3 linked regions of the Macaca fascicularis genome follow. The protein of the gene in region 1 interacts with the protein of each later gene in a pairwise test. Links are inferred from orthologs where the notes say so. Each region holds a gene or a part of one and is shown on either strand. Other genes may lie near its edges.

Region 1 (3,725 bases):
GTCACAAGGTGAGCGTCTGCCATGCCTCCTTCCCACTGTCTCCTGGAACTGCGCTGGGGTACTCTGGAAAGGAGCTGCTCAGATACAAACACAAACATCCCCAAGAGAACAAGCAGCTGCTGGCCGAGATCTACACCGGCAAAGCAGAGGTGGAGTTCTTGACACGGAACAGCAGTGAGCAGAGCCTGGGCCTGGTGATGACGCAAACCAAAAACAACTACCCACCCCCAACAAGTCCTCTCTTCTCACACTTCTTCCTCCTCCTTCCCCTCTTCCTCCTTCTCCTCCCCCTCTTCCTCCTCCTTTTCTTCCTGCCCCTCCTTATTCTCCTATTCCTCCTCCTGATCATCCTCTTCTTAATTCTCCTCCTCTTTCTCTTCCTCACTGGTGCAGGGGGTCATGAATGCTGCCTTCCTGGGGCTCCCCTCATGCAGTGTAAATGATCCTAAAGACGGGCTGGACCCTGCAGCCTCCCCTGCCGGGCTTCACTTCTCCCCCACAGCTCTTCCTCAGCAGCCCTGGCTCCTTCTGGCAGAGGCAGGCCCCAGGCAGGCTCCTCCAGGTCCCACATGGCCTGGGTGCCAGTGGGCATTCTCAGCTCAAAGTTCACAGGGTGGATATTTGGGGGTGTCCAGATGACCAGGCCAGAGCCCCCAGCCACACCGTCTTCAGCCCCTGCTTTGTTGGGGTCCCCATCTGAAGCCCAGCCACCCCCTGTGCTAAGTGTAGCTGTTCCCTGCTTGTGTCTCCTATACCTGTTAGGGGCCATGGGCCTGGCCCCCACTGAACCAGATGCTATTTGGTCTAGGTTGGTGAAGTCCCTTCCAGCTGGTGGAAAGTAAAGGGGCTTGATCTTGACCTGGCTTCCCTGTCCCTCTGCCCCAATCAAGTTCCCTGTTAGTGTAAGCTGCCCTTTGTTCAAATGTCCCTGCTGCCTGCCAGGGGAAGGAGTGCTTGGGTCTTCTGAGCCTATGTTTCCCAGGGCTTGGGATGGCTCATGGCCCCAGCCCCTGCCTCGTTTCCCGACTCCTCTCCTGCAGCCTGTGGCCCCTCCCTGCCTGGAGTCTGGTTTTCAGCCTTGGGATACATGGCCTGGCCATAGTCTTCTTCCCTAGTGCTTTCACTGCACGACAGCCGCCTGCGTTTCACTAATGGGGGTAAGCCTCCCTGTACAGTCTGGGTGCTGCTGTCGCTCAAAGACCTTGCCTGCACGGTGGCCTGAGGTGCAGAGGCACTGGCTTCTGCTCTTGCCTGTCTACCAGAGGCCCCCCGGCCTCTCCCTGATGGCTTCTCCTTATTCTTCATCACTGCCTCAGTGTTCTCCCACTCTTCTTCATCTCGAATAAGCTTCATTAACTCCAGAAAATTGGGAGGACACCCTCGCTGATCCAAGAGCTCCAGCTTGCCTCTGAGGGCGGGGGTCATGGAGACCCGAGCTAAGAGATGTTTCAGACGAATCATGTCTGCGCTGCGCACTGACAAGGGGCTCTTCTGCACTGCTTTCTGCAGCAGGGGCTCTAAGCGCAGCAGGAAAGTGGAGACTTTCTCTCCAATCTTCGGAAAGGTCTGCAGAAACTTAAACTGAGAGGCTCTGAAGTCCTCTTTATCCCCAAAGATCTGCTTTAAGGCGTCAAGGCACTGCTCCACAGTTATGGAGTCATTGTTGGCCTGGAGCACCCGCATGATTGACAGAGCAGGCCCTCGTAAGCTCTCCAGCAAACGCCGTCTCTTCTCCATCTCAGACACTTGCCATATGGGCATTATCTCGGTGACCTGCTCTAGCCAGTCTTCAAAGGTCTCTTCACCTGGGCTAGGGGAAGCAGTTCCCGAAAACACTTTCAGTTTCCGGTACCACATACTTTCTTTCAGAGGCTCTAAAGGTGGGGGTCTAACTTGGGGTACGACCTCTGCATCCAGGCTCTCGGCAGGGAGGCTGCAACATCCCAGGGCTCTGGCCACATCTGTCATACTTCGGCCCTCATCTTTCAGGAAGTAGTTCAGTCTAATGAGAAACTCGTCATCTGGGTTACGGGGTTTTACCACCACTTCCCAGGAGCCCCCCTTTCCTGGTATGTGACTAGGCAGAGTAGTGTAATCGACAGTGTCAGCCAATTCAATGAAGACTGCCTTGGCGTTGTCTTCCCTCCTGAACATTCTCCCTAGCACCCTGTATGCGCGCAGGGGCTGTAAGCCTGCCTGCACAGTGTCCTGAATTTCCATCTCACTACACTCCACGGGGATGCCTATGATCAGCAGGGCCTTTCTGGGGTCCATGTCCATCCCCTTGCACCAATCCTCTAGCAGTGTCAATGCCATTGCTCCCACTTTCTATGGACTGATCTAATACTAGGGCAGCAATCAGCTTAGTTTGACAGCACTCAAATAACTCTGAGCCACTGCCACGTAGGAAGGTAGAAGTGGTCCCAGGTTTCCACAGCCTGCAAAGCAAATGGGATGAGAGCATTGTTAATGCCTACCCCAACCTATACCCCCAAGCACCCCTCCTCTGCCCCCACCCCCGAGCAGGGATGGAGTCCCTTCTTCCCAGGGTTCCCCAAGTTATTTTGGGGAGGGTAGAGGGTGGAGGTTCTCCCCAGGCAAAGATCTCCTCATCTCACCACTCCCTGCTGACCTCCTCCTGCTGTGGGTTCCTCCTCGAAGTCCAGAGGACTCTGCTGTGTGTGCTTCGGGTATCTGTAGTGAAAAGGCCAAAGTCAGGAGGCAGGGCCTGACATCTGGGGACACTGACAAGCTCTCCAGGCGGAAGAGGGCAGGAGACGGCCTCACTGCTCACTCAGGGCTATGTGGGCTCAGGTCACCCAGCACCCTCCTTGCTGGAGTGAAGGCTGGCAGCAGGAGAGGTAGAATGGCCCTCTTTCTCAGGAATGCCTGACAGATGAGAAAGATGGCCGAGCTCTGCGCAATGCAATGAGAGTGGTGGGTGTGGAGATTGTGTGACAAGCTGCAGTGTTGCCATGGATACAGAGAATACCATGGACCATGGGTTGCTATTGCAGGGGAGTGTCATGTGGTAAGGCTAAGGTCCTTGAGAAGCAACAGGTGATGTCATTGGCCTCCAACCAATAAAGCTTCCCAGCAAAAAGGAGGGTGGGAGAGGGAAAGCGAGGTGGGCTTGAGGAGTGAGTGCTGAAAGGACAGGAGCTCATGGTTTCAATTGTGTGGAAGCTGAAATCAGGTAGAAAAGGGACCCTGATGAGGTCCCCACTGCCAGACTGCAGGAAACCAACAACTCTTGCCCTAGAGATGGCCCTACCCTGCAGAGTCTGTGAACGCTGGCAGGCAGTCCCCTCTCCACACTCTTTGCCGGGGTTCCAGAGACCCTCCCAACAGGGCCCACCTCACAGCTGCTCACCTTTCTGGGTTGGCCCTGCTGGCAGCGCAGATGCTGCAATAACACAGTCACTTCAGAGTCGCTCTGCTCTTCAACTCTATCCAATTAGGCAGTTCCTGACTCAGGCGTGATGGTTCCTGCTTCCCTGGATCTGTCCAAGGCAAAGCACAGGTATTTTGCTGTGATTCTGTCCCACACACATGTCCCTGCTCAGGCCATGCCAATTCAGATTCTGCATAGGTGTCCACTAGGACCCTGGTGCAGGGGTAGAAGAAACTGCTCAACTGGCAGAGGGAAGAGGAGGGGGGAAGGGGGGAGGGGTGGGGGGGAAGGAGGAGTGGGGGGAAGAATGGCGAGAGGGGTGGGAGGTGAG
Region 2 (3,691 bases), on another chromosome or scaffold:
ATTTTACGGCCAAGGCACTTGGGCCCCTCCTCCCCAGCTAGACAGCCTGGCTCCTTCACATTCCCCTCAGGAGATAGGGTGGAAGCTCACAGCTCCATTTTGTAAGGCATAGAGGGCAGCTGAAAGTCCTGCTTGGCCTCTCTGGGCAACCACAGGCGCCAATAAATCAGCCACAGGCGATTCTCTCATTCCCTTCCTGGCTGAAGCAGGAGCAAGACATAATGCAAAAGAGCACTGATTGGACTTGAGAGATAAGCGATCTAGGCTTAAATTCTACTGCAAATGACTATATCACTACAGCCCAGGTAATGGCCTGTTTCCTCAGGCTTGTAACATGAAGACAGTACCATCTCCTCTTTGGTAAAGATACAAAGTTCATTTATGAAAGCAGCTAGTATGATACTTCGCCCACTGCAAGTATTCAGTAAACAGCGGCCAACTTGAGCAGAATCCATCTCTAATACATGCAAATAAGACATTCAAGGTAGGACTGGACAAAAAAGGTGTAGCAGGTTATGTGGGTTCCTCTCTGCTTTCTTCCTGACCATACCTTGATATTTCATTGATTGCCAGCTCTCAGAACTAATCTATTCCATGTCCTATCCCATCAGTGTTCTGTTCCCTGTTAAGGAGCTGATGTCCGATAACGGATTCATGATTTGCCCTTAACTAAAATATATGAAGATTGTTAAAGAAGACTTTGATGCCTTAACATAAGGAAGCAACCAATGCTGCAAATAATGGTTATTCTTGAAGAGAACAGCAATGAAATTTTCAGGGGTGGCTGAGGGGTGAAGGCTTTTAGTTCCAAAAATACACCATAGCTGGCCTACCTCACTAGAAATACTATCAAACCCACACAGTGGCCATGCCTGATTTCTCCATAATCTGAATCAAGCCAAGTATAATGACCTCCGCCGGATACATTCTCTACAGGTGAGTGGGGTAAACTGGCACTGCGGTCCTGGCATAGTGGAGAGTGCAATCACCAAGGTGTCTGGAGCCTTGGAGTCTTAGCTATCAAGAGGTGTAGCTAGCTCCAGTTACATCACGCTCTTTAGGCCTGGTGTCTTCTCTGTGATGATCAACAGATTTTCTGTAAGGCACCGCTCAGCTCTAAAACGTGAGATTCCAAAGTGTACTCTACACACTTGATAGTCTTGTGAGAGGATCAATAGCTCTGCCAGACGAACTTGAGTTTCAAGAGAAAGAATGCCAAATTTAATCCCTTGGGGGAGACCCGGGCGCTGACTGTTGAAAACATGCTAGGTGCTGTCAAGTTCCAGGTACTACGCTGTGCTATGCGCTGCCTCCGCAACTGATAACACCTGATTACTCCAAATAATGAGTGCCAGAGAAGGCGGTGATGGGTCAAGCTTCAAAAAGAAAAACTGGATTTGCTTAGAACAAGATAAACATTTGAAGACAGAAAATAAATTATGAGGGCGCGGGGGAAGTCTTCTTGCCCTAGAAACTAGGTAATCACAAGCTGGGAGTGGAAACACTAGCCGCAGCGTCCTCGCAGCATATGGAAAGTCGCCCGCTCCTAAGAGCGGTGGGCGCCAAGCGGGGGAGGCCGCAGGCCTATTGGGGTTTCCTGCTAAGGGTCGCACCCGGACCCGCAGCACGGACGGCTCCGCACCTTCAAGGCACCCCGTGTGCCACCCTGAATCAGGCCCCGGCGGCCGCTCCTAGCAGCAGCAAAGGGTGGTTCTGGGTATTGTTGGCCCAGCGCTCACTCGCGGATGTATTTTCCTCCTGTGCCCTGCCTGACATCTCAATGGGACCAAAAACACCCCTCTCCCCAGCTACTTGCATCTGTCCCGCGACCGGTGCAGCTGCAGGCCGCCGCCCTGGGCGGCTCGCGGCGGGAGGGACTGAGACCGGGGCAGCCCACAAGGGCTGGGCCGCGTCGCTTACCCAGATGCCGCCGCGGCGGCAAGCCGACTCCTCCGTGCAGGAGGGGCGGGCTCCCAAGCCGCGCACAGCAAGCGGTGGAGCCGGCTCACGCACCCCGCGGCTGGCTCTCGCGCGGCTTCCCGCGCCGGCAGCCCGCGATGGCCCCACGTGACCGCGTGTCTGGTAGCAGGGGAACGAGGGGCGCCAAGGCCAGGGTGTGCGTGCGTGCGTGCGTGCGTACGTGCGCGCCCTCCCGCCCGCAGCCGGGCGGGGGTCGGCCCGCGCTCTGAGCGCTGCCGCTACAGTTCGCAGTCGTGACTCTGTAGGCGGAAGCACAGGGACGAGCCTGAGCGTCACAGGCTCCCCACAAACAACCGCGTGACCCGGGGACTTTCCCCAGGGTGTGCAAAAGCACAGGCACCCCCTCAGTTCTGGGGTGAAGGTGGGGGTGGGGAAGGATGCGCCCGCGTGTTCGCTGGGGAAGGGATGAGGGCGCGGGGCCAGGGAGGCCGAGCCGCGGGAGCCTGGGTGGAGAGGCGGACTGGGCGAGGTGGGGCATGGCGAGGGAAGTGACTCAGGGCCAGAGGCGGACAGGCCCACGGAAGGTGGGGTGGGGGGAGCGCGGGGACTAGGCGACCCTGAACCGACCGGACAGAGCGAGGTTTCCGAAGCACTCGAGGCGGACCGCGAGGGACGGCCCAGCTGCTGGGCCCAACGGGGCAGGGGTCTGACATCTGGACAGAGTGGGAAAACAGCCGCGCATACTGCCCTGGGGAGTCGGGAGGAGCCCAGTCACATCCAGCTGTGCAAACAGGAGGAGGAGGAGGTCCCAAGCCTACCCTTGAGAGAGGGGCGAGAGGGGTGGTCAAGCCGCCGCTGCCGCGACAGCCCCCGCGGTGCGGGTTGCGCCAGCCTCCTCGGAGCCCGACGCAGAAACTTGTTGCAACAAACAGGCGACCGCGGGTGCCCCTAGCAGCCAGCGGCAGAGTGGGTGGGCGGGCGAGAGGGAGGGGAAGGCTGGCGGACGCCGCAGCGAACTGGTGGGCAGACCCGGAGTCGCCGCGTAAGCGGGGCCGGCTCAGTGCGGTGCGGCAGGCGCGGCTGTGCGGCAGCGGAAGTCCTTTGTTGCAGCACAGTCCCTGGCAGAGCCAGAGCCTCTCCGCGCAGCCCAACCCGAGCGCCGAGCGCCGCCGCCACTGCAGCTCGCGGCCCCTTCGCCTCCGCCCGCCTTTGCCGTGGCTGATTTGCCTTAAACTCCCTAAAATCTCCGCAGCTCTGGTTCCTGCTGCGGCCGGTAAGTATTTGCCAGTTGTGGGGCTATTTGCGCAACTTTCGCCCGGGCCGGAGGGCGACGGGCCGCGGGCCTGGCGGAGTGCGGGGCCGGAGCGGCGCCGACCCGTGCGGGGAGCCGGAGCGCGGCGGACGCGTTGCAAGGACCCGGTGACGGGCGGCTGCCAGGCCGCCTGCTTGTTGCCGGCGCGTCAGGTCCCGGGCGTGCGGCCTCCCTGAGTCGGAGGCAAAGCCCTTACGGAGACTAGTTCCCAAATTAGTTACCTTCTTTTCTTTCTTTCTCTGCCTTTATTTTTTTCGAGGGGGGGAGGGGAGGTGTAGACGGGAGGCGGGAGAACCCGGTTGATTGACGTGCCTGGAGCCCGCTTCTCTCAACTTACAGCTGCGGCTCCGCGGCGGGTGGGAGGGGAAGTGTCCCGGAGCCCGAGGCTGCAGACTTGGGCGCGCTCCGAGGGAGGAGGCGTAAGAGCCGCAAATTCTTGCTACGCTGTTTCCCACCCCC
Region 3 (3,645 bases), on another chromosome or scaffold:
ACTGCACTCCAGCCTGGGCGACAGAGCCAAACTCCGTCTCAAAAAAAAAAAAAAAAAAAGGCCGGGCGCGGTGGCTCAAGCCTGTAATCCCAGCACTTTGGGAGGCCAAGACGGGCGCATCACGAGGTCAGGAGATCGAGACCATCCTGGCTAACATGGTGAAACCCCATCTCTACTAAAAAATGCAAAAAACTAGCCGGGCGAGGTGGCGGGCGCCTGTAGTCCCAGTTACTCGGGAGGCTGAGGCAGGAGAATGGCGTAAACCCGGGAGGCGGAGCTTGCAGTGAGCTGAGATCCGGCCACTGCACTCCAGCCTGGGTGACAGAGCGAGACTCCGTCTCAAAAAAAAAAAAAAAAAAAAAAAAAAAAAAAAAAAAAAAAAAAAAAAAAAAAAAAAGAGTGCTGCGGCAGGAGGATTTCCTGAAGCCAGGAGTTTGAGACCAGCCTGGGCAACACAGTGAGACCCATCTGTAAAATTAATTAATTACATTAAATAAACAGAGCAGGGAACAAAACCACTAGCCCAACAAGAACGAGAGACACCGCAGGCTCTGCCTTCATCCTGAGAGGCCCAGTGAGGAGGGGATGGGGGAGACTTGCAGGACTCCCTCCAGGGTGGCAGGAACAGCAGTTTGGGGGTGGCATTTTGGAGACCTGGGGACTGTCCCCACATCACCAACCAGTGTCTCAGGTGCTCCCACTGTTTCCACCTCGGCTGCACGGGGCTCTAGCATGACCCTGAGGTGACAACTGCAAAGATTCTACCCACAGCCACCAACCATCACCAAGCCCAAAACACTAAACCTTACCAGCGTTGCTGATAACCATCTGCTAGGGCAGTTCGCACTGCTTGCACCAGGAAAGGCTGCCCAGAGGCTTGAGGACATGCCCAGAAGCCCCAGCGCGACTGGGGAACATGTCAGCGAAGCGTGTGTGGCTGGGGACTCTCTGGCTCATCTGGGTTCCCAACCCCCATCCTGCTGGTCCCTCGGCTCTTCCCAAGGGCTCCATGAAGTTCACAGCCTGGCTGATTCTAGGGCCAGCAGGAACTGCCCTCCCACGTGGGAAGCCCATGCAAAGCACCGCTTTCAGGATCACAGGCAAGTGGGGGGCCAAGGGCTGAGCCCTGAACCACACATTCTCTGCTTTAAACTTTTGCTTAACGAAAACTGTTTAGCAAAAGAACACAACAAAAAGACCCATCTGTGTGCACAGAAAGGAATCCTGAGATGAGGAGAGAAGGGAGGAATCCTGAGGTGAGCAGAGAAGGAAGGAATCCCGAGGTGAGGAGAGAAGGAAGGAATCCTGAGGTGAGGAGAGAAGGAAGGAATCCTGAGGTGAGCAGAGAAGGGAGGATTCCTGAGGTGAGCAGAGAAGGAAGGAATCCTGAGGTGAGGAGAGAAGGAAGGAATCCTGAGGTGAGGAGAGAAGGAAGGAATCCTGAGGTGAGGAGAGAAGGGAAGAATCCTGAGGTGAGAAGGAAGGAATTCTGAGGTGAGGAGAGAAGGGAGGAATCCTGGGGTGAGAAGGAAGGAATTCTGAGGTGAGGAGAGAAGGGAGGAATCCTGGGGTGAGGAGAGAAGGGAGGAATCCTGAGGTGAGGAGAGAAGGGAGGAATCCTGAGGTGAGGAGAGAAGGGAGGAATCCTGAGGTGAGGAGAGAGGAATCCTGAGATGAGGAGAGAAGAATCCTGAGGTGAGGAGAGAAGGGAGGAATCCTGGGGTGAGGAGAGAAGGGAGGAATCTTGGGGTGAGGAGAGAAGGGAGGAATCCTGAGGTGAGGAAAGAAGGGAGGAATCCTGGGGTGAGGAGAGAGGAATCCTGAGTTGAGAAGAGAATCCTGAGGTGAGGAGAGAAGAATCCTGAGGTGAGGAGAGAAGGGAAGAATCCTGAGGTGAGGAGAGAAGGGAAGAATCCTGAGGTGAAGAGAGAAGGGAAGAATCCTGAGGTGAGGAGAGAAGGGAGGAATCCTGAGGTGAGGAGAGAAGGGAGGAATCCTGAGGTGAGGAGAGAAGGGAGGAATATTGGGGTGATGAGAGAAGGGAGGAATCCTGAGGTGAGGAGAGAAGGGAGGAATATTGGGGTGAGGAGAGAAGGGAGGAATCCTGAGGTGAGGAGAGAAGGGAGGAATCCTGGGGTGAGGAGAGAGGAATCCTGAGTTGAGAAGAGAATCCTGAGGTGAGGAGAGAAGAATCCTGAGGTGAGGAGAGAAGGGAGGAATCTTGGGGTGAGGAGAGAGGAATCCTGAGTTGAGAAGAGAATCCTGAGGTGAGGAGAGAAGAATCCTGAGGTGAGGAGAGAAGGGAGGAATCCTGGGGTGAGAAGGGAGGAATCCTGAGTTGAGTAGAGAAGAATCCTGAGGTGAGGAGAGAAGGGAGGAATCTTAGGGTGAGGAGAGAAGGGAGGAATCCTGAGGTGAGAAGGCTGATGCCTCCCGGGGTGTGGGGCACAAGCCCTGCTCACACCGAGTCCCAGCGCGGGCCCTGCCCTGGAGCAGGCAGCCCTTCTCCCCGCTTTGTCATGCCAGCTAAAGGGAGGTTCCCAGAGCCAATTATCAGAAGAGCAATGCAAAAACACATACCAAGATCCTTCACGCTCCCATAAAGAAAAGGAGGATTCCACACTTTGGGGAAAAACAATGAAAGTCCCAAAACACACAGAAGCATCAGGGCTCAGAGGAGGAACACGAGACCCTCTTGGAAACAAGAGCTTTGGAGGTGGCCCTCCTCAAAAGGCACCTCTGCCAGCATCACCGGGCCCTGAGAAGACCCACCTCTGTTTGCTGGAGGTCTCTTCAGCCTTGGGCCGCCAGCCCCACGGCACCAGCTGCAGGTTGTCCAGGCGATTGTCCACAGTCACAGCGTTGAGGTGTACCACCTGGAAGCCCGGGGCCACGCCCCCCCGGTGCCGCTCCCTACAAACAGACAGCAAACCCTGCATCTAACCCTGCATCGCTGCCTCCCACCCTCACAGATAACCAAAGTCCTCCAGGAAGAAACGTCAGCCATGTGATGTGATCAGGCCCCTACCCCTCTGGAGGAGGGTACCTCAGGCGGAAGCTGCCAAGAGAAACCCAAGCACCTGATCTGTGGCCCAAACAGGACAGGGATACAGGGAGGACCTGGGCCCTGGACTTCGGAGCACAGACAGCCAAGGGTGGAACGTAAAACCACCTGAGCAGATGGCCTGGAGACAGCTCCCCATCTGAGTGGTCCCCACCATGCACACCAGGGGGCTCAGCAAAAAACCAGCAAGGGGAGCAACCACCGTCCCTGCAGAGGCCACCAGTCCTGGGCAAGCTTCCAGCAGAAAGTCCACTTGGTGTTTGAAGCGTAACATACAAATCATTCATTCCTTTGAGTTAGTGGCAAAGCACACAAAAATAACTGCGAGATTCAGGGAAGGCAAGGCAGGGCCTCAGTGGGGCAGGGGGCTCCAGGCGCCCTGTGCCATCGGAGCTCACCCAGGAGCCCAGTGGCAGGGGGCAGAGGCAGCTTGGAAACACCCACCACAGCAGTTCATGAAGGAGTCTCCCAGAGCCCCTTCCTCGGTTCTTGTCAAAGGCATAGGCAAATATCTTAGCACCATTTCCATCTGCATCCACTTCCATTCGGGCCTGAGAAGGAACAAGGGAAAGAGCTGTTAA

The links.
Region 2: the proteins of PNMA5 (region 1) and ZBTB25 interact in binary tests that used the Homo sapiens proteins (3 or more experiments, as listed by UniProt). The two-hybrid records come from large-scale screens. The link is inferred for Macaca fascicularis from reciprocal best matches to the Homo sapiens genes PNMA5 and ZBTB25.
Region 3: the proteins of PNMA5 (region 1) and ZMYND19 interact in binary tests that used the Homo sapiens proteins (3 or more experiments, as listed by UniProt). The two-hybrid records come from large-scale screens. The link is inferred for Macaca fascicularis from reciprocal best matches to the Homo sapiens genes PNMA5 and ZMYND19.

The regions. Positions count from the first base shown.
Region 1 is NC_088395.1:159,083,975-159,087,699, forward strand, and holds the start of PNMA5 (paraneoplastic antigen-like protein 5), read right to left. Parts: upstream 2,931-3,725; 5' UTR 2,633-2,930; exon of another isoform or gene 2,619-2,632; intron 2,439-2,618; 5' UTR 2,317-2,438; coding exon 970-2,316; 3' UTR 1-969.
Region 2 is NC_088381.1:132,324,209-132,327,899, forward strand, and holds the start of ZBTB25 (zinc finger and BTB domain-containing protein 25), read right to left. Parts: upstream 2,847-3,691; 5' UTR 2,739-2,846; intron 2,082-2,738; exon of another isoform or gene 1,643-2,081; intron 1-1,642. UniProt on the Homo sapiens protein: May be involved in transcriptional regulation.
Region 3 is NC_088389.1:1,728,917-1,732,561, reverse strand, and holds part of ZMYND19 (zinc finger MYND domain-containing protein 19), read right to left. Parts: intron 3,616-3,645; coding exon 3,509-3,615; intron 2,914-3,508; coding exon 2,773-2,913; intron 1-2,772. UniProt on the Homo sapiens protein: May be involved as a regulatory molecule in GPR24/MCH-R1 signaling.